Linked DNA regions of Stegostoma tigrinum. The protein of the gene in region 3 purifies or fractionates together with the protein of the main gene of each other region. This does not show direct contact. Links are inferred from orthologs where the notes say so. Each region holds a gene or a part of one and is shown on either strand. Other genes may lie near its edges. The genes, in order: brk1, eps8a and abi1a.

What was found.
Region 1: the proteins of abi1a (region 3) and brk1 purify together in Homo sapiens (co-immunoprecipitation; 3 studies listed by BioGRID and IntAct, with this or other methods). This does not show direct contact. The link is inferred for Stegostoma tigrinum from reciprocal best matches to the Homo sapiens genes ABI1 and BRK1.
Region 2: the proteins of abi1a (region 3) and eps8a purify together in Homo sapiens (affinity purification with western blotting; 4 studies listed by BioGRID, with this or other methods). This does not show direct contact. The link is inferred for Stegostoma tigrinum from reciprocal best matches to the Homo sapiens genes ABI1 and EPS8.

The regions. Positions count from the first base shown.
Region 1 is NC_081364.1:11,923,869-11,934,667, reverse strand, and holds the start of brk1 (probable protein BRICK1), read left to right. Parts: upstream 1-6,091; 5' UTR 6,092-6,147; coding exon 6,148-6,265; intron 6,266-10,799. Other genes in the region: FANCD2 opposite strand protein-like, read right to left, coding at 673-1,206. UniProt on the Homo sapiens protein: Involved in regulation of actin and microtubule organization. Part of a WAVE complex that activates the Arp2/3 complex. As component of the WAVE1 complex, required for BDNF-NTRK2 endocytic trafficking and signaling from early endosomes.
Region 2 is NC_081378.1:42,684,777-42,695,724, forward strand, and holds the start of eps8a (epidermal growth factor receptor kinase substrate 8a), read right to left. Parts: upstream 4,198-10,948; 5' UTR 4,033-4,197; intron 1-4,032. UniProt on the Homo sapiens protein: Signaling adapter that controls various cellular protrusions by regulating actin cytoskeleton dynamics and architecture. Depending on its association with other signal transducers, can regulate different processes.
Region 3 is NC_081355.1:123,346,690-123,357,780, forward strand, and holds the start of abi1a (abl interactor 1a), read right to left. Parts: upstream 4,529-11,091; 5' UTR 4,450-4,528; coding exon 4,333-4,449; intron 1-4,332. UniProt on the Homo sapiens protein: May act in negative regulation of cell growth and transformation by interacting with nonreceptor tyrosine kinases ABL1 and/or ABL2. May play a role in regulation of EGF-induced Erk pathway activation. Involved in cytoskeletal reorganization and EGFR signaling.

The DNA.
Region 1 (10,799 bases), on a different chromosome or scaffold from region 3:
TCTCACCCATCCCTTCCCCCCACCCCAAGCCGCACCCCCATCTACCTACTAACCTCATCCCACCTCCTTGACCTGTCCGTCTTCCCTGGACTGACCTATCCCCTCCCTGCCTCCCCACCTATACTCTATCCACCTATCTTCTTTTCTCTCCATCTTCGGTCCGCCTCCCCCTCTCTCCCTATTTATTCCAGAACCCTCACCCCATCCCCCTGTCTGATGAAGGGTCTAGGCCCGAAACGTCAGCTTTTGTGCTCCTGAGATGCTGCTTGGCCTGCTGTGCTCATCCAGCCTCACATTTTATTATCTTGGATTCTCCAGCATCTGCAGTTCCTATTATCTAGTGATAATACCACTTGGCCACCTCATTAATTCCACTTGTACACACACAGAGCAGGAATAGTAGCCTGATGTCAAACTACTTCTTGCCCAATGGTTGATTTTGCTTTTAAAAAGAAAATGGTTCAAAGGCTAAGGGGAGATAAATATCTCACGTGTTTGTGTATCCCTAAGAAAAATAACAGCTACCTTCTACCCAGCAACTACAGTAGTTACAGGAAAGCTCTGCGCATGCTACTGCTCTGGCTGAAGGAATCTGTAGAGAGAAGTAATGGGAAAAAAGTTCACTTTATTTTTATTTTAAAAAGTCTTTTAAGAAACAAGTTTAGTAAAGTATCAAATTTGATGTTGTAACAGGTAAAAACATTTCTGGTAAGCTGTGTAAATCAAGGTGACAAGCCTTAATAATTGCCTATAAAACATCATGATAAAATTAATTTTATACCGTGCAGTTAAAGTCGGTATGGGGGAATCGATGCTGATCTCAGTAAAAGCTGAGCTTTCTGAAGCACGAAAGCCCCCTGCAAGTTTTGGTGCTCTGCTGGTGATAGCTCTCCCAAATACAGAATCAACGGAGCTGAGTTTGACGGGATGAGGTTTATGTATGATTGTTGCATTATCATATTCATCTTCTGAAGTGTGGCACATCTCAGAAGTGAGTTTCCCTGTGTCCCCTAGAAGATCCAAGAGATTCCAGTCATCAGTTGCGACGTCATTTTGCAGGTAGAGGGCCACTTCTTGGTCTGATGGTGAAGACATCTGTATGATCTCCGTTCCATCTCGTTTCTGAAGGGACTTGCGACCGTATCTGACCCATTGAAAATGATCCTCAAATGGAGTCCAGGGATGCCACACTTGATAGGTGGTCATCTTCAATTGTAAAGATCCCAAAAGATCAGGTTCATGAAAAGAGGGGAATTGTCAAGTTATTTATGGTTATGGTGGAAAAAAATCCAATTGCATTTGAAGATTATTTTTGACATTTGCACTGTCATATAATGTTAAACTCAAAATGCAACAACTACCATATGTCATTAATTTAGAGCAATCACGGCACCCTATTAGAAGAAGGCTAAATTTCAAAACTACTTATCCTTGCATTCAAATACCTCTATAGCTTTTCTCATCCCCATCTCCACCCCAATTTTGGACTTGTACATTCCTGGCTTTAATCCATGCTTAGTGATTAAGTATTGCTGGAGTGGAAATTTCTGCAAGTGAAAATTCCGGACAGACTGAACTGGAACTATACCGTGCCCCATCTCTAGCCACTTACGAAAAGGTGCTGTTCAGAAGGACATAAAAAATTTGGTGAGTGGGAAGATTGTTGGCAAGTGAAGTTCAATGCAGTGAATTGCAAAATGATAGATTTTGGTAAAGCCATGGAGAAATTATATAAAGGATGAAAAAAAAGGCAATGATTTAGTGGCATTATCGCTCGACCATTAATCCAGAGGGCCTCATAACATTCCCGGGACCCAGGTTCAAATCACATCATAACAAATGGTGGAATTTTACTCTATAAAAATCTGGAAAGAAGAGTCTAATGATGACTGTGAAACTATTGACAATGGCAAGGAAAAACACATCTGATTCACTTTCGGGCAAGGAAGACAAAGAATAATACAGCACAAGAACAGGTCCTTTGACCGTCCAAGCCTGAACCGTTTTGCTGTTCCATACTAAAACTGTCTTCACTTACAGGATCCATACACCTCTATTCATGTATTTGTCCAGGTGCTTCTTGAATGTTGCTACTGTGTTTGCTTCCACCACCACTCGTAGCAGTGTCTTTCAGGCACTCACCACCCTTTGTGTGAAAAACTTGCCTCTGCTAAAAATCTTCCATCTTTATCTGGTATGGCCTACATGTGACTCCAGACCCCCAGCAATGTAGTTGATTTTTAACTGCCTTCTGGGTAATTAGGGATGGGCAATAAATGCTGGCACTAGCCCACATCCTGTGGATGAATTTAGGAATAAAAAGCAGAGGGACGTTGGTATATTAAGTGCATAAGTCATTAAAAGTGACAGGATCGGCTGAGAGTACTCATGAAACATATAATAGCCTAGGCTTCATAAACAAGAAGCACAGGGTACAAGAGCAAGGCGCCAATTTGAAGTGAAGGTACTGGTGTCATGGTAATATCACTGACCTAATAATTCAGAACCCCAGGATGCCATCTGGGGACTTAGGCTCAAATCTTGTCATGGCAGGACTTGAAAATTGAATTCAATAAAAATCTGAAATTAAAAACTAGTCTAATTGAAGTAGTCAAAATTATGAAAAGTCTGAGTAGACATGAATGGGTTGAATGGCGTACTTCTGCATTGTAACAATTCTGTGTTATTATTTTAATGTTTCAGACTTTTTTTTATTGCTGCAGTACCAATGTTTAAAAGTTAGGACAAGAGCAATTATCCACCCCCTCCACCCCCCCCCCCCCATTCTTTTTACCAGTGTTTGGCAGTATTACCTTCAGCTTTCAAGGCCTTAAGCTTTAAAATTCCCTCCCCAAATCTCTTTGCCTCTGTCTCTTCTTTTAAGGCACTGAGACAGGTATGTCTTGGACCGTGGGAGTTTTGTCACCTCTTCTAATGATTCTGTTGGTTAGATGTCAGTTTTTGTCTGAATATACTCCTGTGCGGGACCTTTGCTATTTCCAAGGAGGATGAACCAAAACTACAAAGAAATAAATTGGAACGAGTGAGGATGATATGCGAAAATGAGAAAGAAAATTGGAAAATTGTTTTACTAAGATGCTGCTTGGCCTGCCGTGTTCATCCAGCCCCACACTTTGTTATCTCGGATTCACCAGCATCTGCAGTTCCCATTATCACTGACTGTATAACCAGCTTTTGATGCCAGAAAGGCACTGTATTAAGTTGTGAAGAAGACATACGGAGTCTGCAAAGGGATATAAATAGGTGAAGGGCAAAAACTCGGCAGGTTTAGTTTAAACTCACGTACAAAAACATAACATTGTTTAAATGGAGAGCGATGGCAGAACTCTACAGTACAGAGGAATAAGGATCTCTTGGTACAAGAATCACAACATTCAGTCATAATGTCATACAGTACAGAAGAGGCCCTTCAGGCCATCAAGTCTGCACCAAACTTGACACCAATCCCACTTTCCAGTACTTGGCCCATAGCCTTGAATGTTAAGGCATTTCAAATGCTCATCCACAAATGTTTTAAAGGTTGCAAGGTTTCCTACCTCAACTTCCCTCCCACGCAATGCATTTTCAGGTTCCTACCATCCTCTAGCTGAAAAGATTTTTCATCAAATTCCCTCTCAGACTCTTCTCCTTCACCTTCTAAATAAAGCCCCCTTGTTATGTCCTTTCAACAAAGGGGAACAGCTGCTTCCGTTCCAATCTGTCCATAGCCCTTGTAATCCAATACACTCTGAAGGGTTCTGATCTGAAATGTTAACTTTCCTGCTCCTCTGATGCTGCCAGGCATGCTGTGTTCCTCCAGCTCCACACTGTGTTATCACCTCAAACAGGTCATCCCTCAATCTTCTTAAACAACCTGAGCTCATCCAGCCTCTATGTGGCTAAACTGCTTCATCCCAGGCAACATCCTGGTGAATCTCCTCTGCAGGTCCTCCAGTGCATCACATCCCATTATGGGCGGCACGATGGCTCAGTGGTTAGCACTGCAGCCTCACAGTGCCAGGGACCCAGGTTCGATTCCACCCTTGGGTGACTGTCTGTGCGGAGTTCGCACATTCTCCCTGTGTTCTGTATGGGTTTCCTCCAGGTGCTCCGGTTTCCTCCCACAGTCCAAAGATGTGCAGGCTATGTGGATCGGCCATGCTAAATTGCCCATAATGTTCAGGGATGTGTGGGTAATAGGGGAATGGGTCTGGGTGGGCTGCTTCAAGGGGTGGTGTGGACTTGTTGGGCCGAAGGGCCTGTTTCCACACTGTAGGGAATCTAGTCTAAATTCTTTCTATATAATGCAGCTACATTAAGTGATTCAAAAGGCAAATTGAACATTTTCTTTTGCTAATTGCAAGGAGGACGGAATATAAATGTATGAAAAGTTTGCTACAGTTGTACAGAGTGCTGGTGAGACCACATCTAGAGTTCTGTGTACAGTTTTGATCTCCCTACTTATGGGGAAGAAAAAACATGATTTGCATTGGAAGCAGTGCAGAGAAAGTTCTTGGAATGAAGGTGGGGTAAATTACTTTGAAGAAATAATGTACAGGCTAAGTCTGTGGCCATTGGAGTTTGGAAGAATGAGAGGTGATCTTTTTGAAACATATCCTGATGGATGCCCAACATATGTTTCCCAATTTGGGAGAGTCCATATGATGGGTTACAGTTTAAAACAGCTCTCTTAGTTAAAATACAGATGAAGAGAAAAATGCTTTCTCATAAGGTTGTGAGTCTGGGAACTCTCTTCCTAAGGCTCTCTGATTTTTTTTAACGCTGATTTTGATAAATTCTTGACTAAGTAGGGAGTAAAAAGATATACAGGAAAGTTGAGATCTCAATCACATCAGCCATAACTTCATTAAATGGTGAAGCTTGCTTCAGGGGTAGAATGGCCTATTCCTAGTTCATCTGTTTCAACCATGCTTCTGCCCCCTTTGCAATTTTCATAATTGTCTAAATTTACCCCTTGTTTAATCATTACACAAATTGGTGAATGGGCTCTCATCGTGCACTGATATTGTCCCTACCTCCCAGTCGGAAAGCTGGCACACTAGTTTTGCATGCTCCATAGGGTGTGTTATACACATTCGGACAAGTTGATTAAAATGAAATCGCGACGTTTGGCGAAGTGATTGGGAGATGACGCCGTGCTAGCATTGTGGAAACCTGTAGTCGGGTGAGGGGACGGTGGTTTGCCATTTTGAGGATGGTTCGATGGGAACTAGACTTGACCTGAAGCAACATATTTTTCGGAAACGCTCACCTTTCCGATCCAAGGGGATCAGGATGAAAAAAAAACCTGGAAGGTAGGGGCTGTTTGGTCAAGTCGCACGTTCTTAGCCTCCTGATATGATGTATTTATTCGGTGAGGCATGAAAATTGCGTTCGGTTGCCTGGTTACCTACTAGGCGAATGTGTCAATGTCCATGCAACAACAACTCGATACAGCGGGATGGCAACGTCATAATGGTTGGAACGTTTGGTGATGTCTAAAGACTCTAACTTTGATACTGCATTTTTGGAAACACAAGGTTCCAAAGAAAGAGACTGCACATTTTACCAATCAGCTGGATCTGATACCACTGTTTCTCCAAGGATGAGCTTTTCCCAACAATTTCTGACTTTTTTTAAATTTCTGAGCTCCAGCACCAGTATTTTAATATTTTGTTGCCTTCATATCTATTACTGTTTCTCTCTTTCTGAATGAGTTTGAAACCAACTGGTAATTGTCACCCCGCCCTCTCATAACTTCAGCAATCCTCCAAATCTTCGATCTTCCTTTCGAGCAATTGAACGGTTCTCACCCTCGCCACTTTTCCACACCCACTCTAAAATCTCCACCAATCAAAGTTCTCGCCAATAGACTGACCAATAGGATTTTTATTTCCACGGAAAGGCGGTACCATCTTTTACGTTCTGCCAATGGAAAATCTTGTCTCGCCTTTCCCGCACCTCCAGTTCCACTTCTGTCCAATAGTCTTCGAGGAACTCGCGTCTCTGGGTCGTATGTGACCAATAAGATTGTCTAGATGGCCGGGTTTTGTGTTGCTCTGTCCAATCAACGCAGCGATTACAGTATCAGGGCGTTCCGGTCCGGGAGGAGGAGAGGGGAGGGAGAACTCGTTTGTTCTTTGGGCTATGGCGGGGCAGGGGGATCCGGTTCAGAGGGAGATCCATCAGGACTGGGCCAACAGGGAATACATTGAAGTGATCACCAGCAGCATCAAGAAGATCGCGGATTTCCTGAATTCATTCGGTAAGAAGCCTCCGGTGACAGCGCACCCACCAAAGCATTGCTTCCTGTTTAAGTCTGACTTACTGGGTGCCAGGAACGTAGGGCCTGGTTCAGCTGATGTCCTACGTTTGTCGCTGGCTTTAACTGTCGACGGTAGGGAGGAAGTTAAATTTGCATTTACTCTCCAGAGATCGTTTTAAAGGGTTATTTCGCGATGGGGCGGTGACGAACGGAAGAGACGTTCCAAATTGAGCTGTGCTTCCTTTTTGCCTATCAGTCGCCTCGCCCTGTCGTTCGTGTGTGAATCAGAGGGCTAGTAGCTATTTGACCAGAGTGGAGCAAGCTCGTCTCGGCTGGCCTTCAGACAGGGGTTACTGAAGCTAATTCGAATGCCCCACTTACCAGTGAGACGAACTCACTTAATGCAGTCTGGACGTTTAACTGGTTTTAAACTGTTCTGCGTAATGGACGTAATTGTAATGTCATGTCTTAGTTATGTTTAATAAAAGCAAAACAGTGGTGTTGGAGGTCTGAAAGAAGAACAAAAGTGCTGGAAAAAATTCAGCAGGTCTGGCAGCACCTGTGGAGAGAAGCAGCGTTTGCGTTTCGAAATCTACATGACCTCACTACTGAAGAAGTCTTACCAGACTTAAAATCCTAATTCTTTCTCTCTTCCCAGATGCCACCAGATTGCTTCAAAAATTATCAGCATACAGCGTAGAAGAGGCATTGAGTAAAAGGATAGACAAGTTGTGCTGCAGCTTTATAGATCTTTAGTTAGGCCACGCTTGGAATATCGCATACAGTTCTGGTCACCAGAAGGAAGTGGATGCTTTGGAGAGGATACAGAAAACGCATACAAGGATGTTGCCTGGTATGGGGGCTTCTAGCTATGAAGAAAGTTTGGATAGACTGAATTTGTTTCCCCTGGCAAGCAGGAGATTGAGGGGCAAGCTGATAGAAGTTTATAAGATAGAGTGGAAAGTATGAGGATTTTTCCCAGGGTGAAGAAGTCAATTACTAGGGGACACGCATTGAAGGTGTGATGGGGAGGGAAGCTTAAGAGATGTGAAAAACTTGCTGTGCACACAAGAGGTGGTGAGTACCTGGAACACACTGCCAGAGGAGGTGGTGGAAGTAAACACAGTAGCAACATTCGATAAGCACGGAGATGAATATATGAATAGGAAGGGAATAGAGGAATATGGATCCTGTAAGTGAAGACAGTTTTGGTATGGAAGGGCAAAAAGTGTTAGTATGGTCTTGAAGGGCCTGCTCCTGTGCTGTATTCTTTGTAAGAGACCCTTCGACCTCTATCAAGTCAAGATGGGCTTTTATTAAGGTAAATAGCCAAAGTCATTTTCCCAGGGTAGGGGAATCCAAAATAGAGAACGTAGCTTTTAAGGTGAGAAGAGAAAGACATAAAAGGGATCTAAGAAGGAACTTTTTCATGCAGAGGGTTGTGCATGTATGGAATAAGCTACGTGAGGTGGTGGAGGCTGATACAGTTACAGCATTGAAAAGCAGCTGAATGGATACATGATTAGGAAGGGTTTGGAGAGATATGGGCCAAATGCTGACAAATTGGACTAGATTAATTTAAGGTATCTGCTTGGTGTGATGAACTTGGACCGAAGGGACTGTTGCTATGTTGCATATCTCTATGACTCTGCGTCTTACTACCAAAAATGAACTACTATTTACACCAGTCCCACTATCCTGCACTGGGCCCGTATCCTTGAAAGTTGTGACACTTTGCTCATATGAGCAAAGATGATATGCTCATCCAAATACTTTGTAGAGGTTGTGAAGCTACCCTCCCAGACAACACATTGCAGAGCCTCATCGCACTCAGTCAAAAGGTTTTCCTCAAATGTCCTTTACACCTGCCTTTCAGTTTTGAATTATGTTCCCTTGTTGTTGTTGTCCCTTCCATTAAGGGGAACAGATGTTTTCTATTCACTGTCTGTGTGCCTCAAAGCCCACAGAAAAGTACAGCACAGGAACATTCCTTAAGCCCGCCATGTCTGTGCTGACAGTGATGCCATTCCGAACTAGTCCCATCTGTGCGCACGTGGATAGGAAAGGTTTAGACCAAATGCCAGTTCAAGTTAGAAAATCTGGTTGGCGTGGATGAGTTGGGCTGAAATGTCTGTTTCTGTACTCTGACTCAAGTTTTTCTACCCCTCTCTGCAATCTTATACACCCCTATCATATTCCGTCCTCACCATTCTGTTCTCCAAAAACAAAACATCCTGAGCATATCCAGCCTCAGTCCGGGTTGGAACATTTCAGCTGAGAACAGTGTCCAGGTGAATCTCCTTTGCACCCTTTCCAATGCAATCAGTCCTTCCCGCAGTCAGGTGACCAGATCTGCACACACTACCCCGACCTGGCCTAACCAAAGCCCTGTACAGTTTTAACATAACCTCTCTGCTGCTATAATCTGTCATGACTGATGAAGGCAGGCGTCCTGTACGCTGCCATAGCTACCCCATTAACCTGTCCTGTCACCTTCAGGGATTGATAGACCAACACCACAAGATCCATCAGTTCCCCTGAGCTTCCTGGTGTCATACCATTCATTGCATACCCCCTTAAGCTTATTCAGTATGTTCTGTTCTTGGTTAACATATGAGATATGATATAGGCCTTGCAGATTTCGCATATAAAGCTGCAGCATAAGTTGCCTATCCATTTACTCATTGCCTCTTCCAGTGAAGGCAAGCATTTTTACTTCGTATGGAAGGGTAAAATGTGCCAGCACAGTTTTGGAGGGGTGAAGAGCCTGTTCCTGTGCTGTATTGTTCTTTGTTCATTATCAGTTGATCATTGATATTTTTCACTCAACCTGTTCAGACATGTTACGATGCTTTGGAGCAGGTGGGAACTTGTAGGGACATGCAGGCCATGTCGATTAGCCATGGTAAATGCAGGGTTACAGGGATGAGGGGGCTAGGTAAGATGCTGTTCAGATGGCTGGTACAAATGGCCTCTATTGGCACTGCAGGGATTGTATGATTCTTTGACTTGAACCTGGAGCTGCTGACCCAGATGCAGGGACTCTACTGCTGTGTAACAAGGGGCTGTAAAATAATTTGACCCTTTACAATGACCATCGGGATACATGGTAACCAGAAATCCGATAAGTAAATAATTCAGAGGAAGTATCTTTACCCAAGTTGCAGAACTCACTTCACAGGGATGGTCAAGGGAAATCAGTTTACCTTTGCAGAAAAACCTGACAAACCTGTGATGGAGAAGATTATAATGGCAGATTGAGTTGAGGAAAGATAGGAGGGGGCTCATAAACCTCTTGTGGGAAGTCTAGGACAAGCGGGTATAATCTCAGTATGCCCATTAATACAGAGAGGAGGAGGAATTTCTTCTTTCAGACAATTGTGAGCTTGAGTTTATTGCACAGAACTGTTGAGTCTGCATCATTTTAAGAGTATTTCCAGGCTGAGAGAGATTTTTGTTTTATTTGGTAAGGGGTATGGGGAATAGGCAGGAAACTGGAGTTGAGGATTATTAGGTTAGTTGTGATCTCACTGGGTTCCTGGACAGACTCAATGAGCTGAATGGTCTGTTTCTTCACTTGCATCTTACAGTCAAAAATGGCATGGACTGATTGAGCTGAATGATGCGATCCTGTGCCTCAGATCCTGTCGTGAAGAGAAAAATGCTGCAATACTATCTAATTACTTATAATCTGTTACCTGAAGTTTGCTATTTTTTTCTTTGTGAATTACCTGCTGCCTTGTGTTAGTTAAGTCTAAAGCAACAGTTCATTCATAGCCATCAAATTGGGAATCTGTAAAGAAGAGCATCTATAATTCTGTAACATCAGTGAATTCCATCTCCATGTTAAAGGAAGCTTTTTTAAGGTCTCCTTTACCCTGTTAGCAGGACAGGAACGCTCTTGCCTAACTTCCAACACTACTTCAATACTTCAGTAGAGACTGTGAATAATTTTCCAGCAAATGGGGCGGCACGGTGGCTCAGTGGTTAGCACTGCAGCCTCACAACGCCAGGAACCCAGGTTCAATTCCAGCCCCAGGTGACTGTCTGTGTGGAGTTTGCACATTCTCCCCATGTCTGCGTGGGTTTCCTCTGGGTGCTCCGTTTCCTCCCACAGTCCAAAGATGTGCAGGCTAGGTGGATTGGCCATGCTAAATTGCCCGTAGTGTTCGGGGTGTGTGGGTTATAGGGGGATGGGTCTGGGTGGGATGCTTCAAGGGCCGATGTGGACTTGGGCCAAAGGGCCTGTTTCCACACTGTAGGGAATCTAATCAAATTCTTCACCTTCTTGAGTTGAGGTAAAAATGTGATCATCTGATGCCATATGCTTGTTGTGTTAATAGGGTACAAATGTTTTACCTGATGGAGGTCTGGTAGTTAGATAAGCATGTGTATTTCATAGAATTCCTACAGTGTGGAACAAGACCATTCAGTCCATCAAGTCCACAATGACCTTCTGACGAGCATCCCAACCTGAGCCACCCCTCTCCCTATCCCTATAACCCGTCATTTAGCATGGCCAATCCACCTAGTG
Region 2 (10,948 bases), on a different chromosome or scaffold from region 3:
TTACTCTGCTTGCAATTGATACAGCCCAGTCCATCGTGGTTTGTAGCATCATTTCCGGTTTTGATCTGTATGAGTTTATATACGGGGTCCAATTCTATATGTTTGTTGATGGCATCATGCATTGAGAATCGTGCCTCTAGGAATTCCCATGCGTGCCTGTGTGTCAAAACCAGAAGGGACACTGCAAACCATAACGGATCCGACAGTATAAATTCCAAGCAGAGTAAAATAACATCGCTTCATCAGCGGCTCCACTGATGCCTAGCATGGGGACGAAACGTCTGAACAAAAACAAGCCAGCTTGGCAAGAGAGTCAGCAACCTCATCCACAACCCAAGCTACAGCTCTTTGCCAACACTTTATGAGGTGATTTATTTTAAAATCTATCAAAGGAAAAAGAAATAAAGTCATTATTGACAGTAAAAGTTATAATCTGGAATACACCACCTGAAAAGATACTAGAAGCAGACTCAATGGTAACTTTCAAAATCAAGTTGAAAATTTCCTCTCTCTGAAGAAGAGTCTAGGCCCGGAACGTCAGCTTTTGTGCTCCTGAGATGCTGCTTGGCCTGCTGTGTTCATCCAGCCTCACATTTTATTCTCTTGAAAATTTCTTTGGTTACTTACACAGTCTCAACAGACTAAGAATTTATGATTCACAGGAAGGATCTGGGAAAACTACTATGACACAAGAATTTCTCAGGGACATTTGAGAAACCATAATAACTACTTGAATTATTGCACATCTCCTTGGCATGATCATAACTAGACGATTGCATGCAGCTCTGAGCACCAAACCTTAAGGGTAGATTCATTCAAAAATCCAAAGAACAGGGATAAATCTTGGAATCTAACAAATTTACTCAAAAGAAAATATAATTAAAGGCCCAAAAAAATACATAACCCAAGTGTTAGAAGTCATCAGCAGAACTACAGGACATAAGGACCAAACTACCCACCCTCAAGTGGAGCTAGAATTAAGAACTGTCACTACTACAGAGATATGAACTTGCCTGCAAGTGTCTAATTTGGTCTCAACTGATTCCTTTAGAAGCCAGTGCAAAAATCTCTGAATAACAGTTTTAAAAGTTCAAAGTTCAGCACAATTTTTAAAAATCTGGGATGCTGTCATTATAGCCTTGTTGGGACTGACATGTTTCATCTGTGGAGGTCAGCTTCAGGTGCACACAGGCGTAGACGTTTTAAAACAAAATATTGAGAGCACTTACATCCATCACCTTCCTGATTTTTTTCTGAAGCGATGTCAGAAAGCAAAGGCAGCACAGTGAGTCAGTGGTTAGCACTGCTGCCTCAGTACCAGGTTCAATTCCAACTTCTGGTGACTGTGTGTGGAGTAAGCATGTTCTCCCGTATCTGCGTGGACTTCCACCAGGTGCTCTGGTTTTCTCCCACAGTCTAAAGATGTGCAAGTTAGGTGGATTGGCCATGTTAAATTGCCCCATATTGACCAGGGATGTACAGGCTAGGTGCATTAGCTGTGGGACATGCAGAGTTACAGGAATACGGTGGGATGCTCTTCGGAGGGTCGGTGTGCATTTTTGGGCCGAATCGCCTATTTCCACACAATGGGGGTTATATGATTCTATAATCAAAATTAACTTGGACTTAACCCAAGAAGCAGAAACTACCAGAACAAACTGAAAGTCAGTGTGCCTTTTCATTAATAGACATACTAAATCAGATCACTCCAACAATAAGGAACAATCAACTATTTTATATTTCTCTTCATTAGCACCTCACTGAAGCTTTAAACCAAATAGTTTAGAAATATAAACAGAGTTTCGAAAGGGTAACATGAAGACTAATCTCTCAAATTTTAACTCAGCTGATGCATTCAAAGCAAAAATCAAATGAATCAAAGCAAAAGGATGTCCTTTTGAGGTAAACCAATGTTCACGTACACCTCCAAACCCTTTAAAAGTTATTAACCACCCAAAATGATTCCTACTTCATCTCAATTAAAAATCACACATCAATCTGCATAACAGATTTCAAATCAAGTACATTCAAGCCCAAATGGTCAATCATGAAAGCTGCAGTTATCACTTTCGTACATCCTTTTCTTGAAGTGACAAAAGGACTCTGACCAAAAAAGAAAATTGAGAAACATTATGCACTTCTTCATAATTAACAAATATAACCCATTGTTGTGAATCAGATCTAGGTGCTTTCAATAAGGTCCATCACAAAACCAATCTCAAGCACAAGAAAGGAAATAGCTTTTTATAAACTTAATCATGCCTTAAAATTCCTCTGCAAAATTGGTTTGCTTTTACACAAGTTTACATTTACATCTAATCCAGTTCTCACAGCAGTCACTATCAGGTCACCACAAACAAAAACAAACTCCTGCTTTAAAATTTCAATTATCTACATTAGTTGATTCACACAATATGTTTTCCTCCAATTTCAAATTATCTTCTACAAAAATGATTTAGAAGATGACATTACCTTTGCCCTTTCATGACCTCTTTGAAGATCATTTACCTTCAGCCAGCCACAATGAAGCTGAACAGACCCAACCTATACTGAGATTTACAGTTTAATTTGCAATTGCACTAAAAAGGAACTACATAAGTTTAAACAGACAAGATGAAAAAATTAAACTGTCCATAAATATTTTTTATGAACTACATACAATATCCACATTTCATAATATTTCACAACTCCAGAACAATTTAATAGAAGTTAAAACTAAAAAAACTACTCCAAAGCATCTGTGCATGTTTTTTCTAAAAGTAGTCGTGAAAAAGTTATGTTTCGAAGGGGAGGTTCAGATAAAACAGGAATTAAAAACTGTTTTGGAACACCTCATTTCAGTTATTCCTGTTTAAAAGGTGTTCTTATGTCAACATCAGTATACCACCATACGTTTACACCTCTGGTGTACAGTTGCTATAGTTGTACCAGACCACAGGATGTTAGTCTTTTAACCTCACACACCACACCTCCGAGAAGGGGAGAAGTTAAGGAGGGCAATCCTTCCTGGTAACCTTAGCCAATGTGGAAACTAAACCAATGCTACTGGCCTCACTCAGTATTAGCAAGATAGCCAACAGAGCTGACCAACCTCCAACTTCTGGCACACAATAATAGTCACAGAATATGACAAATAAACTCACTATACTTTACAACAAAGAGCAGCAAGAACAAAACAAACTAGAGAGTTTCTTTATCAACAATATGCCATTCATATAAAAAGTTAATCAACCTTAGCCAACATTGCTCAGTACAAACAAAAAGATCCAAAGCAACAGACCACCTTTTCACTGGCCAGAGTCCAGGGGGCCCGGGTAACAACAGGACTCACCCCTGCTACGGGCAGATGCCTGACCCTCAACTCTCACCCAAAGAAAATACTTCTGCATGACTTCGATATCCTCAGAACTAAAACGGTTTTAAAACTTTACCTGGAACCAAATCCGTGCCTGGTCATGAGTTCCTAATCTTACCACGCACAGCGTACGAGGTCCCATCCCGCCGCTGTTAGACACACCCAAAACAGGAGGTCCCAAATCACCTTCCCCAGGAGAGGAAGCTCCCACTCCCTCCCTCTCCAGCCAATGACAGGATGGTGGGAATAGGTTAAACAACAGCCTTCAACAGGGAGTTGGATAGGGATTAAAACAAAAAGGGGGAGGGGAGAAGAGCAGGGCTATAAAGAGCGTGTACGGGGTCAACGGGCTGAACGGCCACACTATTCAGTACATATAATTTTATATTTTTTTTTAAATGAGTTAGTTGTGTTGTGTGGAAAGTGGAACAACGTTATTAACACACCGGGTGAGGGGGTCCCTCTCTTTACCGGGATGGGGTCTGGGGTCTGGGGTCTGGGGTCTGGGGTCCGGGGTCCGGGGTCCGGGGTCCGGGCCCTGGGTGGGGTGACGCTCCTATCCCTGGGCAGCTCTCCAACTTCAGCCGCACACCCTCCCCTTCTCCCTCCGAGCACCTCGGGGGCCGATTCCGAAACCCCCACGCCAACCGTGTCCATCGATCCCCAGCCCCTCTCACCTCAGCTCACGGCCTCGATCGGTATCTCAGTCTCCAGGCACCTGGGCACTTGCCGTCAGCGAGCAGCGCCCGAATTGCGCCCCCACCCCCCCCGCAAAACTCCTGGGGCACAGACGCGAACAACCGAAGCCGCTCGCGCAGCGCTCCCGCGTGCCCCCACACCGCCTCGCGGGGACGCGCGTCCGCCGCTGAGCGCGCCAGCGCCACCTCCCGTCAGGACCCGCTCGTCTTCGCTTGCAGGGCTATCCTCAGGTGCTGGAGTTTTCTGCCCGGTTCCTCCTGCTCCTTGAGACGGTGGGTGGTGGAAGTTGAACCTCTGCAGTCCATGTGATGAAAGAGATCCCCAAACCCCTGCCTCTTAGGGTTTTGACCCTGCGCCAAGTATAGAACTGTACAGACCCTTTGGTCCACGATGCTGTCCCAAACTTTTATCCTAATCCTAAGGTCTATCTAACCTCCGCCGCTACCTTATACTATCATCCATATGCCTATCTCATAGCCGCTTAAATGCCGCTGAGGTCGACTCCACTACCCATTCCGGCAATGCATTCTACGCCCCAGATCTAGATCTAATAAGCGCCTTATGGCTTTGTATCTTTCCCGTTCTGCATTTTTCTAAGCCCTTCTAGTTTTATGCTAGCCCTTGTCTCTTTAATTGTCCATGGCTGTTTTCGCGAAGTGGAGCTCCTCCCTTTCAGGAATAAACTGGTTTTGTATTGTGTTAAATGTTTCTTTTAAATATCATCACTGCATTCAGTTCTTTTACCCATCAGTAGATTTTCTGTGAACAGATTACAGGTTTACTGTGCACAGTCTCTGTCTCGTTTTGTTTAAATTGGCCTTACCTAAATCTAAAGCTCCAGTAGCTGATTCATGCTTTTTGATTTCCCATACTATGTTGAATTCAATAATACCATGATCAATATTTTATTAATGTTCATACACAATTAGGTTACATATTAAATCCAACTCTTCACCCATTATGAAATCAAACATTGCTTGACCTCTTGATGCATCCAGAACATACTGCTGTAGGAAACTATGCCAGACACGCTTCTGAAATTCACTGATATAACAAGGTGTAGAACTGGATGAACACAGCGGGCCAAGCAGCATCAGAGGAGCAGGAAAGCTGATGTTTCTGGTCTGGACCCTTCTTCAGAATGTCCAGACCCAAACACCAGCTTCCCTGCTCCTCTGATGCTGCTTGGCCCACTGTGTTCATCCAGCTCTACACCTTGTTATCTCAAATTCTCCAGCATCGGCAGTTCCCACTATCTCAGAAATTCACTAACTTTCCGTCAGCTGCTTATCTGCCTCTATGCTAAAGTTAAAAAATCACCATCAACATTATTCTGGCTTTGCTAATACACTCACCTAATTTCTGTAATTATACAACCTAGCACTTTGAAACATTTCCAAAAATTAGTCCTAAGTGACTATGACAAAAGTATATTCTCCCTCCTTGTCCTTAATTACCTGCTTTCTTTGAGACAGTTGACACCCCACCACCCTCTTCGAACACGTGTCAACTGCTGTCTAGATTGGTGAGAATACACTTGGGTTCTTAATATAATCATGGCGCAGATTGTAATACTTCTCCCACTTCTACACCGTCACTTATGCTGCAGCAGGTATCTGTCCTCAGTCCCTCCGACTTATCATGTATACACTGCTGTTTGGCAAATTCATCCCAAAAGCACAGCATAATTTTTTTGCAAGCATGCTGAAGACAACCAATTGTAATTCATAACTAGCTCTCTGTTCCAAATGATTACAATGCTTATTCAATATCCAATTCTCGACGAACAGGACTTTTCCCCAAATGATTTTTGTGAAGATTGAAGTCATGCCAGTTTCATGCCGCACTCCAAGTTAGAGATGTTGCAAAATATTGGTATAACCTACCCACTGATCATGTCTTCTCCACTGGAGACAAAAAGTTTGCAATTCATTTGCCAAGCTCGGCGAAGAACCAACAGCCACACTCCAAGTCCCACTCATTTGTCCCTGATTGTACCCGTGTTCTTGGCAGATGTCTGAGACCAAGCCCAGCCTGCTTGTAATAGATAACACAGTGCAGAGATGGAGGAACACAGCAGGCAGCGTCAGAGGAGCAGGAAAGTTGATGTTTCTGGTCGCCACCCTTCAGAAAATAAATGCTGCCTGGCCTGCCTGTGTTCCTCCACCTCCACACTCTCTGACTCCAGCATCTGCAGTTCTTACTATCTTTCAGCCTACTTGTAGACTTGATATCACATTTGATTCCAATCTCATTTCATGCCTCATTAAAATCACTTGTTTCCACCTCCATAATATTGCCCAACTTCTCTTTGGTCTCAGCTTATCTGCTGCATTCGTGCATGCATTCTATCATTATCTCTCGGGTTCACTTTTCCGATGCGTAACTGGCTGACCTCCTACATTCAACCACCATAAACTTGAGGTCCCAAAAATTCTGCTTCCATTTCTTAACTTGTTAAGTTCTGTTCATCTATCAACGCTGTGCTCATTAATTTACATTGCCTCTGGATTACGTAATGTCTTAATTTTGAAATTTCAATGCTTGCGTTCAAATCCATTCATGGCCTCACCCCTCCTCATAACTATAATCTCCTCCACCCTCACACCTCCAGCAAATATCTACAATCATCCAATTCTAGCCATTAGGCCATCTCTGATATTGACCGCCACACCATTGGTGACTGTTCCTTCAGCTTTCTAAACTCTGAACTCTGGAATACCATCCCCACAACTTTCTGTTTCTCTGTCTCACTTTCTTCTTTTCAGATACTCCTTAAACCCTACCTCTTTGACTAAACATTTGGTCAACTGACCTCATGTCTTCTAATATGCATCTTATAAAGTTCCTGTGTAGCACTTTATGCCATTTTATTACATTAAAGTTGGATAAGTTGAAGTTGTAGTTTTGAATCCATGCTTCTGGTGATAACACCATTAAAGTCCAGTAGTTACTGAAGGGGAAATGACCAAGAATGCAACCCTGAAGTGGCCCAGAGATGTTCAAGTAGTCATTGAAGGATTGGGGAAATACGAGAGAGATCCAAAAACAGTGTTTTGTGAACCAATTGGCTGAGAATTTGATAGATGTGGGAATTTGGTGAAGAGTGGGACGGAGGCACTCTTTTTAATCTCACTGTTTTACCTCCAGTAGCTGGTGAAAATTCTTTTTGTTTTTCCCAGATAGTTGATTGCAAATTGCTGTTACTTCTTTTATTTATTTTATTTATCAACTAAACTAATTAAATCAAGATTTAAAAGATATGGCAGGGCTATTGGTATAAATAGACAGAAAATGTGGGAATACATTGGAATGACAATACAGTCTACTGTCTACAGCTTCAACCCAGATCTGCTGAGCTGATGTCTTTGATGAAGACGTTGTGGGACATCAACAAAAGGGAGATTCCTCAGCACTTAGTTCCGGTGGTAATGACATCCCCCAGGTGAGGTAGAACTTTGCAAATGATCAATGACCAGGCACAGGGGATTATGAATGTCAGTGAGGCAGTTATGCAAGCCAGCATGTAGTGATTCCTTTGAAGATTGCAACTAGTTAAATATACTTGCAGTCAATGTAGAGAAAACTAAGGACTATAGTGTCTATGACCAAACTGATCCAACAGCCTTTCTAAGCTGTGCAGCATCTAGAGGTTTCTCTGAGGCTAACCATCGTACAGAATGCCAATCATGTTGGGGAGGAGGGTAATGTTGTAATTAGAAAGTATGTGGTAGAGGACGGTACAGTGAGGGCATAGATATTATTCACCACAGCTATGACCAGGAGCACTGAAAGGTTGTGATACATGCCTTCTGTCAATGTTTGGGCACGTCCTTTCTCAGTGGATTCTTGGAACAATAACATCAGAAATACTAGGTATCTTGCTCTCTGAGACAGTTTGAGGAATTCAGATTCAAATTTAAATGCAGAACCTCAAAGGTAGTCATGACCTAGCAAACAACAACCTCATCTAGTGAATGAATAAAAAAGAATCACTGAGACTGAGAGTCTGTTACTAATAATTAGTAGTTAATAAGTAATAGAAGGTTAATTCATAAATCAATTAATTGTGTCTGTACAAAATATAGTCATGAGGAGTAAAATGAGAAGTAAATCATTTTCTGATTGTGCAAAGCATGTGCACTTCAATAGAATAATTAGTACCACAATCAGAAATAAATATTTTAGACCTGTTCACCATTGCAGAGTTACATTTATAAGGTGATCAATGTTGAGAAATAAATATTCAAGAAAATGCCACATTGTGAAAAGACACTGCTAACTTACATTTACCTACGCCTGAACAACCCAGCATGGTGACATGGTGGAATAAACACTCCTGAGACTGTGAGATTTCTTCCCTAAACTTCTTTTAACAACACATATCTGGGTGTTAATGAGGGAAATAAACAAATAAGTGGTCACAGGAACCCAAATAGTGATACATTTTGCAGCATACCTGTGTTGAGACAGTTTCTGTTGATAACAACCGTGATTTCATCTCACTTCTTCCCATTGCAGCAGTGTTTGGTATTGCATGATGCATTCAGTTGTATGCTTACACTATTCTGCCCTTTTGAAATCAAAATTAGAGAAAATTTAGACACTAAAAGCCAAAAAAGATAAACATCCTGATATCATCTGCTTTCTTTAAACGATCATCAGTAACATTTACCTTAACTCTTTTCATAGTATTTTGAGCTATAGACCTCTCAGTCATTTTATGAAAATAAACTATTACATCATATCATGTATATATTTCCAGGGCAGATGTAATATTGCATCAGAGATATTGGGAACTGCAGATGCTGGAGAATCCAAGATAACAAAGTATGGAGCTGGGTGAACACAGCAGACCAAGCAGCATCTTATGAGCACAAAAGCTGACATTTAATGAAGGGTCTAGGCCTGAAACGTCAGCTTTGGTGCTCCTAAGATGCTGCTTGGCCTGCTGTGTTCATCTAGCTCCACACTTTGTCATCTCAGATGTAATGTTGCGCTATTTTGATCTCCACTAGTGAGCTCCATTATAGCAAAATTGCACTTTGCATGAGTGATTAATATTTCCTCATCTTAAGTAGAAATTAAAAGTCAAAAACTTAATGTGGAGTGTAAAATAGGAAAGCAAAGTACTATAGATGCTGACAAAGTAGTAGGTTTGGATATTAATATCGATGAGGAAGCTTTCACGATAATTGAATGTACCATCACACCTTGTCTAATTCCATCTGCCCTGGGTCTTTTGCTGCTATAATTCATGTTGCTCACAGTTTCCCAAGCCAATGCCACCATCTTGATTCCTGTAGATTTTCAGGGGGGTTGGGGATGACATCTGCATGGGAGGGCAAGAGTCTCACCTCCTCCTCTTATGCTGTGTCCCCCCATTCCAGACCTCGAACACAACACTTGGCAGAAAGCCTATTCCTGACAACCCCAACACACACACACACACACAAACACACACACACACACACACACACACACACACACACACACAAACAAACATACACACAAATAGCTTCTCCTCCCTTCTGCAAACTCACCACTGCCTCTGCATTGGTGTTTCTGGATTCAGGCTGAGTGAAGTCACTCACATTCATATTGTTTGCTTGTCTCATCAGCCACGAACACTGGAGAGTAGCAGCCTGTCCTTGGAAGTGTATTTCCTTGTACAATCTGTCACTTGCACTGACCTGTATTTTGAATATGGGTCCATGAGCCTATAGAAACCCGTGGCAAGCTAGACTTCGGCCTGTTTGCAGTAGCCAAACAACCTTGGACTAAGGGGTGTGATGGTAAATAAACAGGGAAACACTTAAAGAAACAACTCAACAGTTTAAACAAAAATACAATGCAGTAAAAAAACTTGATGAGAAAGATCTAATCATGGTGTACTAAGTAAGTTAAGTATTAGATTAAAATAAAAGACTTAAAATGTTGTAAAAACACTGGTAAGTCTGGCAATTGGATTGGTTTAGAAACGCAAGATTGATGGGAAAAGAAAACAAAAGAATGAGTTCACTAGCCAGGATTAAAAAATATAGATTGAAAGAGCTCTTACAACTGTATAAAAAGGAGGCAAATAGCTACACTAAACACTGACCTTTAGACGCAGAGGCGGGACAAATTATCTTGGACAATAAGAAATTGGCAGAGATATAGAACAAATATTTTTAGTCTGTCTTCATAGTAAAAGCCACAAGTTACAAATCAAATACAACCTAGGAGCAGTTTAGAATGAGGAAGGTAATGTAATTAGTATCAACAGAGGAACGGTACTGGAGAAATTAAAACCTGATAAGTTCTCAGGATCTTTATCCTGAAATGATAGAATTAAAAAGGATGTATTCATAGCATCAATACCTCTGAGCCAGAGGGTCCAGGTCTCAATTCCACCTCAGGGTGTGATGGTCTCAGAGATTTGTTGTGATATGTCAGAGCAGATTGATTGCAAGAAAGAGACAATGGCTTTAACTTCTGAAACTTTTTTCAATTTTAGAATGATCTGATTGAATGGAATTTAGCAACTGTAATGCTGCCATTCTCAGAAGGTTGGACAGAAAACAAAATTAGCCTACGTGGCAGTTATGGTCCGTGAGGATTCCTCTACTCAAATTCACCATGATGGCCCCCGTTCTTGAATTATCTAAGTTTTAAGCTATAAGTAAAAGGCCTTCAATTTTAGCTTTCACTGCAAAAAAGTAACCTGTTCCACAATAATTTAAGGTGGTAACCTTTTGTAATAAGGTCAAATGATACAACTGATTTGTAAAGACAAATCAAGGTGGACCAATGTTTAGCCGTATAAGAGGTTTGTATAGATATTGCGTTAAATTAATGAGAATTTCTAAGAAATTTGCATGCATACAATGTTTTCATTCAGTCAGCTGGAGA
Region 3 (11,091 bases):
TGTGGGTGAGATGCTCTGAGGTTCTGTGTAGACTTGTTAGGCCAAAGGGCCTGTTTCCACACTGTACGGATTCTATTCTATGGGACACTGCAGGTTGCCTAAAGAGATCAAAAAAGATATGATACCAGAAATGAGAGGTTGTTCCTTTCAGGAACACTTGAATAGACTGTGGTTCTTACCTTCAGCAGAGGAGAGCTGGCACAGATCATCACTAAATAAAACTAAAAAGGAACTTAGGAAAGGCCTTTCTGTTTAAGACTGTGGTCACAATGTAGAATACTGAACTTGTTTTGTAGCAGGCAATTGGCAAGGACATTAATGAGGAAAACAAGGCAGTCATTACAAAGGAAGATGACTACAAGAATTAGTTAAGGATGGATGGAAGCTCACATGGTGCACAAGCACTGGCAAGGGGTTGTACAGCAGCTAAAATGGCCCACTTCTATGCTATAAACACCATGTGATATCATTTTTCAAACTGGCTTGCACAAATTAACTCCTCTCTCCAATACAGTACTGCCATATATCCTGCTTCAACCGAGAAATTAAATAAAGCTTGCACAAATTGCTATACAAGTTACGCTGGCTGTGACAATAGCAGAAAAAGGTGCAAAACGTTTCTGGTTAAAAACAATTCAGCAAAAAAAAAGTGTTCATAGATTGAATTACTACACAATACAGACTAATGGAGGAGATAAATTTAAAACTATTCGGTTAGAATTAGAGAAGTGTAACAGTGCACATGGAATTGGGTAGCAATGGGAAGCGTCAAGATGCATTATCAAATTTGGTTGACCAAGACTTGCGAATACTGCTGAACCAATCAAAACATTAGACTAAAATATCCAGCGGACCATACGAGGAGGGCTGATATTAAAAGTGAAGATATTTGGCAGTGGTGTACATTCTGTGTACAATATGCTTGCTTGCAGGATTAAACTACCGCTAAGTAAAATTACAGTTAACTTTCAAAAATATTGCAGACACACTGCCAGACACCTACTCTGATAAGATAAGCAAAAGGATCGAAATTTGCTGGGAGATGGAAGTGGGAAGTACCAGTACTTGGAAATAAACAGACATCTGACTAACTATCCCCTGATACGCCAGTAAGGAATATTCTATCTTGCATTAAAAGATACAAAATCTGATTCACAAGAATAATTGATGCTATGGCTGACAGGAGAACAAAGATGACAAACAGCAGCTTGATCCACATTCTGCACTGAAAGAAACTGATTGTTTTTGCAGTTTACATGTGAGCTTGAAATTACTGTTGAGCAATACAACTTTATAAAAGTAGATTTTCGAAAAAGACAAGTAGCAGCTTGAGCAACCTACTGACTACCTTCAACTGTGGACTGATCACCTACAATGATTCTAAATAAGGGGACACAGCCACAATAAGCCGCTCATGCAGTCAGAATACTAAAAGTTGACCGAGTTAAAAAATAAATTAGAACATATCTTGCAATCTTTGGAAGGAAGGGAAATTTAAAGAATGTCCAAGATTATTCTGTAGATTGGAACATTTAGCCAAATGAGATATACATTTTACACAGGTACCAAAGATGCAAGATTTCAGTCAAAAGGTATTAAAAGGGAATATGACTGTATGGTTTAAGGACAAAGCAACAGTCAATGAAATCTGTTTTAATAAAATGCAAAAACAGAAACAATGATCAGTTTTTTTTAAATGTATGAACTAACTATTTGGGGCATGAACTAGGCAAAGCTGTAAGCCACTGATTAGATAAAGTCAACATGATTCGACAAAGGGTTTTTTTAAAACGTGGAAACCATCAGGATAATTAACAAAAACGTGCAGATACAGCACATTCATTTTGAGGATGCGCTCGATAAGATCCCAGAGAACAATTTGTTCCACAAGATAAGAATTCACAGGATCAGCACGGTCAAGAATCAGAAAAGAAAAATAAATAAGTCATTATTGGGTGGCAGGATGGAACTTAGTTGAGCACCACAAAGATCAGTGTTTGGTCTCATACTTACAATTCATACTGTGACAAGAAGAACTGTGTATCCTGGTGTACTGAAGACACAAGCGACGGTGGGTGAGCTGGGGAAGATCTAAGATGCCTCTATAGGATACAATCAACTTAAAACTATTGAAAGTGCATGATGAAGTACAAGTGCCAAGTACTCGGAGGGGAACTGATAATTCTCAATCTCTACATTGATTCTGAACTACTTCCATTGACACTACATCACCAATGTGCTCTATATTCACTTATCTAATGGCTGAATCTTTCCTCAAGACATGACAAGTCAAAAAGCTTTGTCTACATTGCTTCTACTCTGCATAAAATGCAAGTATATCCATGCCATTCACCAGACTCATTAGCTCCAAAAATCAATGCTTCACTTCTCAAAGCCTCATGTTTAAATACTCCCATAAGCATCTCCAACTCCAATTCTCAAATCATTTGGATTCTTCACACTGAAATCTTCAATTATCAAGATCCCAAACTCTGGAAGTTCACTTGCTCTAAAAATAAAACTCTGAAAGCTCGGTACCAACTTTTGACTTTACACTTGCTTAGAAATACAACTCAAAAATACTTCAATTTTTAAAAAGTGCTAAAAACATGGTCCCGAGGTCACGCAGAGAAAGGCTACGAAGTTATCTATATAAAAATGACAGACGACAGAGCAAAAAAAATTGCACTGAAACCCTAAAAGTGCGACAGTATGAGCAAAAATGTAGAAGCAATTTAAGGTGCGTGTTATCCAGTACAACAGAAAGAGATTCAAATTAAAATCATGACTGCAAAACAAAGTAGCTTCAAAGTGGTCACAACTTCGTGAAATGGAAATAAGAAAGCACTTTATGCAGCCAGAGAAAACTAAGACATTTGAAGCAACTATCAAGAGTATTACAAAAAAAGGACAGATACTCAGCACCATCGTGATGCTCGTATAGAAATAAAACCTTAAATTGACACAGCCTGGGTCAAATAGCTTCAGTTTCCTTATTTTATGATAAGCAAGTTACCCAAAAACAAGTGCAATTCAGACAAACTGGAATTGAGCACAAGGTTTGAGAATCACAAGTTCATCTGCAAAGCAGGATACTTCATACTAGAGTGTTTATTGACATATGTAAACCTATCTGTCGTTGCCCGGACCACTACAGCTGACAACTGCAAGTCGTGTTGCAACTTCTATCCGCCTCCGACTATCATATTTCCGTCCATGGAAAAAAACAAACGTTACATAGGTTTCCTCCGTATCTGGCGCATCAAACTAACTTTCGGGTGGAGTTTGGGATCTCATCCTGTTACAAGTGATCTCGGAGTTTAAAAAAAACACTGCGGCTGAACATGAAGCTGCGAACACCCACATTTGCAAGGAATTTACTAAGACAAAAACGAAGAGCGAGGATAGGAAAACCTACTTCATGGCGAGGGGTGGGGGCTTTTGACGCCTTTAAGACTAGTTCCACACTAAACTGGTGTCGGAAAGACTACTTCACCGCACAGTTTCCCCGAGGTTGCCCAACCCAGAGTAAAGGGAGTGTTGCTCAATTGATATAGCTATCATTTCAGCATGTCGGACTACAAAAAACCTATACTTAGCTTTCAGACAGACAAATCACATGAAAGAAACACCGAAATTTATAACACACGCACGCAAACAGATCAATGGAAAGATCCCCTGGCTTCACACCGAATTAAAACAAAGCGGGGACGAACTGCTTGCCTCAAGAACAAAAGCTGTTTATAAAAATCAATTCAAATTGTAGAGCGGGTGCCTAAAGAGCACAGGCGGACCCGTGGGAGGGGTGGAAACTATTGGGAGAGGGAGAGCCCCGGCCCACATACCCGGGGAATATGAGTCAGACAGCGCGGCACACCCTCTGGGACACACAGAGACTGGCGTTAAAAAGTGTGCTGGTAAATCCAGGGAACTACTGACGGAACAGGCTGACTCCTTCACAAAGTGAGTTTAAAAACAGAAGAGAGCTAGAGAGAGACCACCACCCCTCTCAGCCCCGAGCAAAACCTGACATTATCGAGGCCCCGGGACGGGGGCGGATAAGTGTCCAACCGTTCACGGCCTGGGGAAATCGAAGTGAAGAAAGAAGAGGTGTGTGTGTCTGTCTGTCTGTACTGGTCTCAGGGGGGTGGTTGCAGGAGTGGGGGCGAGGGATCGAATTCACGGCCCAGCCCGTATCCGGGCAGAGTTACTTGCCACTGGGACGGTGTGTGTGTGAGAGAGAGAGAGAGCGGGACACGGCAGGGGAGTTGTAACCGCCAGCGGTGCCGCTCGTCCGCTTTTCCCGTTACCACTGCCCCCGCCAGCTCGTACCTGGATATAGTTGTTCTCGCAGTAATCGGCCACACGGCCCAGGTTCTGGTAACTCTCTATCAGCGCCCTCTTGCCGGCAGGGATTTCCTCCTCGAGTAACATCTGCAGCTCTGCCATCTTACATCTTTCTGCATCGCTTTATGACTCCTCGCTCAAGACCGCCTTGGTTACACCCTCCCAACCGCGCGAGGCACGCCGGGATCCCATAGCCTCCCTCTCACCCACCGACCGCAAAGTCATCTGGGACTTGTAGTTTGAGATGATGGGAACTGCAGATGCTGGAGAATCCAAGATAATAAAATGTGAAGCTGGATGAACACAGCAGGCCGAGCAGTATCTCAGGAGCACAAAAGCTGACGTTTCGGGCCTAGACCCTTCATCAGAGAGGGGGATGGGGAGAGGGTTCTGGAATAAATACGGAGAGAGGGGGAGGCGGACCGAAGATGGAGAGAAAAGAAGATAGGTGGAGAGGAGAGTATAGGTGGGTAGGTATGGAGGGTATAGGTCAGTCCAGGGAAGACGGACAGATCAAGGAGGTGGGTTGAGGTTAGTAGGTAGGAAATGGAGGTGCGGCTTGAGGTGGGAGGAAGGGATGGGTGAGAGGAAGAACAGGTTCGGGAGGCAGAGACAGGCTGGGCTGGTTTTGGGATGCAGTGGGTGGGGGGGATGAGCTGGGCTGGTTGTGTGATGCCGTGGGGGGAGGGGACGAACTGGGCTGGTTGTGGGATGCGGTGGGGGAAAGGGAGATTTTGAAGCTGGTGAAGTGCACATTGACACCATTGGGCTGCAGGGTTCCCAAGCGGAATATGAATTGCTGTTCCTGCACCCTTCGGGTGGCATCCTAGTGGCACTGCAGGAGGCCCATGATGGACATGTCATCTGAAGAATGGGAGGGGGAGCTAAAATGGTTTGCGACTGAGAGGTGCAGTTGTTTATTGCGAACCGAGCGGAGGTGTTCTGCAAAGCGGTCCCCAAGCCTCCGCTTGGTTTCCCCAATGTAGAGGAAGCCACACCGGGTACAATGGATACAGTATACCACATTGGCGGATGTGCAGGTGAACCTCTGCTTAATATGGAAAGTCATCTTGGGGCCTGGGATGGGGCTTGTTGTAGTCTCTCTCCTCTGCCAATGACCTGGAGATGCCGGACACTGGAAAGTGTGCCTGCGGGGATAAAACTGGCTTTTGAGGTACCAGTGGTAATGTCCTTCATTCTGGCTCAGGACATCCATGTCCAAGTCCCACTTCCTCCAGACGTGTGTAGTAACATGCCTGAACAGGTTAATTACAAAATATGCTGGAGAAACAACACAGGTCTGGCAGTATCTGTAGGGAGCGAAATAGAGTTAACTTTTCAAGTCCAGTGACCTTTCAGCTTAGAACTGAAGACACCCGATGAAGTGTGGAATATATCCTGATTTGAGTTCTGTTGACTAGTCAAAATCGTGGAACACCCATTCTTAACAGCACTGTAGACAACATAGATTAAAGAAGCACGCTATTACCTTCTCAAAGTCAATTAGTGATGGGTAATAGATATGGGCTCTGCCAGTGATCTTTACATGCCATGAATTAATTTTCAAAAAAACTAACAGATATAAACATTAACTGTATCCCTCCTTAGCTGGTAAAGGTAATTAGTTGCAATTTTATTATCATTTCCTTTAACTTCAAGAACAGAATTATTAATAGACCTTGGAAATGGTTATGTCCACTGGATGGGGAGATCATAAATAAGTAGGTCACAAAATTAATTTTAATGTGGTGCAATTTAAAAGATTCGTACAAAAGACATTAGTTGGAATTATGCAGATAACAAGTCAATTATGGTCAGTCTTCCCAGTAATGGTAGCATAAATATATATTATACACACACACTGGTCAACAGACAACAACATAGACCTTGGTTCTCCATTATGAATGACGAATATAGTCACCTTTGGTTGGGTCCACTGCAGTACGTGTGAATGAAGCACTCCTTTGGACATTTCCTCTTTTGCCCACAGTCAAATATTCTGCTGACACTAATTGTTCAGTTTCAAATGCAAAAACTATATATTTGGCTGAGCTACTTCCTGGGTAGCTGTCAGAGGACCGAGAACCATATTCCATGGGCCACCCCCAAGCTTTTAGAAGGTCAGGCAGGAAGACATAATGGAGCGGGAGGCAAAGTTTCTCTTTCCCAATGGCAGGTTAAATTTATGGTATTAGCTTCTCAGAACCTTTCAACTGGGTTGGCTTTCAGGAACCTTTTTTATATTTTTTAGCAGTCTATGAATACTCATTAATGTCCCAGGAGATGGTAGTTACATTCATGGATGCAACCTTTTTAGCCAAAAACAGGAAGCATGTGTTCACAAACCTGACTATGTACACAAGAGGAGTGCTTGGCAGAGTAGACTGCTTCCTCCGAGCCCTGTGAATAAACCAGTAATCCATTACGTGGCTGCTTCAGAAATAAAATATCATGCAAACACTTCCGTGGACTAAAGAGTCCCAATGTTCAGCTGGTGATGACAAGGCACATTCATAGCCCATCAAGTTTATTACATTTAAGCTCCTCCAGTGTTAATGGTTTTGTTCCTTCCCAGGGACCAGCGGTGGTAAATACCTTTGCTGAAATAGTAGTCCCAGGACATGGCAGCAGTAGCTACGTCAGCCAGAACAAGGCACCAGTTGCTTTTGTGCAGTGGGCTCAGCGTTGAGTTTGAGCCGAGTTCAGAACCCAGCAGCTTCAGCAGACTCATGGTGATGATGGCAAAGGACCCAATGTGATGCCAAAGACTGGTGACATGGTTCCAGCGGTGGTGTCATGGCTCCAGGCCATGGCTGGACTTAGATACCTGACAGTAGCATTGCGGCTGCAGCACTATGCACCTGAATGTTCGCAGATTGAGGGATGCACATTGTGGCTTTGTTTTTCTGTCAGCAAGGACCCATGACAAAGTGTCCTGTCTTTTGTATACTAAGATGGTGCCGGATGATGATGATGGCAACTTTGTATGTTTCTCACTGTATTCTTGTATTCCTGTAGATGAATGTACATGACGATAAAATCTAAATCTAAAGACCCTCCTTGTTCAACAGCTCATAAGAACGAACATACATTGGCCATCAAGTTTATTGTAGTCAGATTATTACAGTGTTAGAGAGGATGGCTGATCAGTCCCACCAGCCGACCTAATCGAGGTAGTCACACTGTTCATTAAAACAAATCTGATTAGAACAGGCAGGCATAATAAAACTTAAAAGGTGAATGAACATAAATGGAACGTTAACTTAAACACGTGTGTAACCTAAATGGGGCATCAATAAAAAAGGTTCTCAGAAAAGTGAGCTGGATGTAAAGGGAAGCTAGAGAAAGCAACTTAAGTGCCTTTAAAATCATGGGCAGTGGAAGGATCCTCTGAAATGGAGGCAGCGAGAGAGAGAGCAAGAAAGAGCAGAACTGAATAAGGCAGAGTTTATCTGAGTCGAGGCATCATAATTTCTGTGGGAGTGGGATCAAGGAGAAGAACAGGAATGTCAAAGGAAATAGTAAGAAAGGGAAATTGAAAGATCGCAAAGTAAAAACAAAACAGGAAATGGCAAGGCCATTCATGGTAATGGGGTTGGGGGGAGAATTGTACTCAAAATGGGGAGAGTGTGGGGGATGCAATCCAAAGATAAATGTACAGCCCCATCTTTCCAAAACTCAAATTTCAAAAGAGGGTTTCCAAGAATTTCAGGGATTAATGCAGAACCAATTGCAGCCTCATGTATATGAATGTTAATGGCATTGTGATGAAACAGTTATGTTGTCTGATCCTGCAGAAGTGTGGGGCTGCATCACAGGGTGCTATGATGGCAAATAGATTTACATTGCGTTAATTGGCATCGGCATGCAAGGTACCTTTAAGATAAAAAGCACAGATGTCTCTGATGTACCAAAAGGAAAGCTGAGAATCAGTCATGGGTGATGGACATTGCACCTATCCATGTACAAGGTATCGCCCAAGGAGGAGCAGCCTGATAACGGTCTAAAGTAGTCATTGAATATGACAAGATGGTAAATGCAAAGCAAACATCTAATTACTGTCCTTTAATCACATATCAATAATTCCACTTTACATGTTGAAACCCAGCAGCAATATTAGCATTTATAAGACTAAAAAGATGAAGAAGGAGATGAAAAGGAAAGAAAAAACACAGAATCATAGACATGAAGCTCAGGGGCTCCTGCTGTCGACAAACACGCAGCCTGGTAAGAGGGAGTCCAGTGACTACAGAAACAGTCTATAGAGAAAGGGTATATGGAAAGCATTGCAGCTACCTCCAGATAAGTAAATGACATCGTTACATTTCTGGAGTAGTTGTGATCTACATCTGGTACCTCCTGAGGAAGATATGCATTTGCACAGCTTGGAAGGAACTGCTCTGTCTGTGGGCCTGAAGATCATGGTTCCTTTCAAAATTCAAATGGGGACTTGTGTGATATTTCACACAAATCTTATTGATGCCCTTTACAGGAAGGCAACCCAGTTTCTCTAATTCATCATTGACCTGAACAGCATAGCTGCCTGAACTGTGCAAAGTGCAGTTATCGCTTGGTTTGCTCAGGTGAAAGGACCCAACAACTCTGCACAAATGGTGCTCAGAGTTCCCTGCTAGTCAGATTCGTGAACAGGGTAGGGTTTCAATCCCTCAATGACCAGCTCCTTTATGACCACTGGCAACAATTCTTGTAAATGTGTGCCCACTAACAAGTGAACTGGCACAATGCTTACACTGTGCACAACATCTAGCTTCCTCCAATGTTGGATCACCATCTCCAGAACTGGGCCTTGATGATAAAAGGTGCTTCCAGAAAGCATGATAATGATTCCAGTATGGAACCCTCAGACTGGTGACATAAATGTGTACAAAACAGCCCATGCATCAATTAGTGCCATCATTGAACAGAAATTTCCTCTTAACCATGTGCCTTTCTCTTCCCATAAAAGTGGAGGAGGTTGTCAAATCCATACCATTGCAGCACATATCTGTTGTTACAATGTGCACACAGGCAAAATGAGAATTAAATTGTGTCCAGGGTGAGTAGGATGTCATAGAATGAATAATTCTGAATTGTCTAAAACATTGTGCTAAGTTTTCAATTTATTAAACTTAAGTTTTGATTTGTACTAGAGGTTCTACATATGAAATTCTTAATTTAGTTGTAAGTAACTTGGGGTTGCTTTGTCTTTCAATACTGTACTGATCTGCTTAAAACAGGACAGTTGAGATCAAGACCTGCTTGGTATGTCGGAAATTGTCATTTCTCACCAATGCAAAATGATGTGAAACACACGGAATGTTTTCTATGCTTCGGTTTTCCCTCTGACTTGTTCTTCAGTTGTTTCTTCCTGAAGATAGTGCAAGTCTGAAGGGTGGCATTCTGCAAGCAGCGAGCATGCTATGATTCTGTATTTCATGCTGGGGTACTAGCAATATTCTTAGAACTTGTATGAAAGTAGGTGTTATCAAGGTAATCAGCTTAGACTGTCTTTAAAAATGTCAAAGTTGCCCAATTTTCTTCTCTCCTTCTGAGGCTGATTTTAATGCCTTCACCACTTAAAACAGACTAACAGCACAGATCAAAATTGAAGCTGAGGCTTTCTTGGTTCAACACTGTCTTTTATGACATATTCATCCATTCAGATAACTTGGAATCCACACAGCTGGTTTTTTAATGTTTATCAGCTGGAACATCATTTGATTTTAAAGTATTTATTTTTGATTCCTAGTTTATCCTTATCGAGTTAAAATTCCTACATGTGCTTTCTTTGGTGAACTATTTTAACAATTCATTAATATCCTATTCCTATCCAAAGAGACAAAGTTAATGCCAAGATGTATGAAACTACTTTTAATCCACCAGCATTGAACAAACTTGCTATTGCAGCTTCTCATTGTGTGCTCTATTAAAACTGCATTTAAATTGTTTCTACTTTCTCTTCTGCACCAAAGGATTATGATTAAAGGTCTCATTTTCATAATGCCTTAAGGTGTCAGACAAAGAGAAATAAAATAGAGATAGGATCTCTACAATGTGGAAACAGGCCATTCAGCCCAACAGGTCCACACCAGTCTTCTGAAGAGCATCTCACCCAGACCCATTCCCCTAACCCTGCATTTCCCACATCTAACACACCTAACCTAAACATCCCTGGGCATTCTAGCTTGGCCAATCCACCTACCCTGCACATCTTTAGACTGTGGGAGGAAACCAGAGCATTTGAGAAAACTCTCACAGACACAGGGAGAAAGTGCAAATCCACACAGACCTGAGGTTGGGATTGAACCTGGGTCCCTGGCACTGTGAGGCAGCAGTGCTAACCACTGAGCCACTGTGCCACCCCAAACACCAAGCAGAAAATTGGGCTGAGAGTTACTGAGGTGCATATTCAACAGGTCTGTCAGCACCTGTAGAGAGACATTTCAGGGCCAAATATTAAAAGAAAAGACCATCAACTTGAAAGATTGGATGGAATGTAAACTACCTTCAATCCCTCTGGAAGCAAGTGAGGAGCAAGGTGGAGTGCTGGACTTAAAGTATGGCAGAAGTTGTCAGCAACCTCACTCCTTTCTATTAAGACCAGGGTAAAAAGTGTGAAGGATGGTCTTCCCAACAGTAGGTCCAATGAGATGTTTCAATGGTCAACTAAGTGCTGCTTAATGGCCTTGATCTGTTGCTACTGATCTTCCTGCTTACGACTGCAAGCATTAAATCCAGTCCATT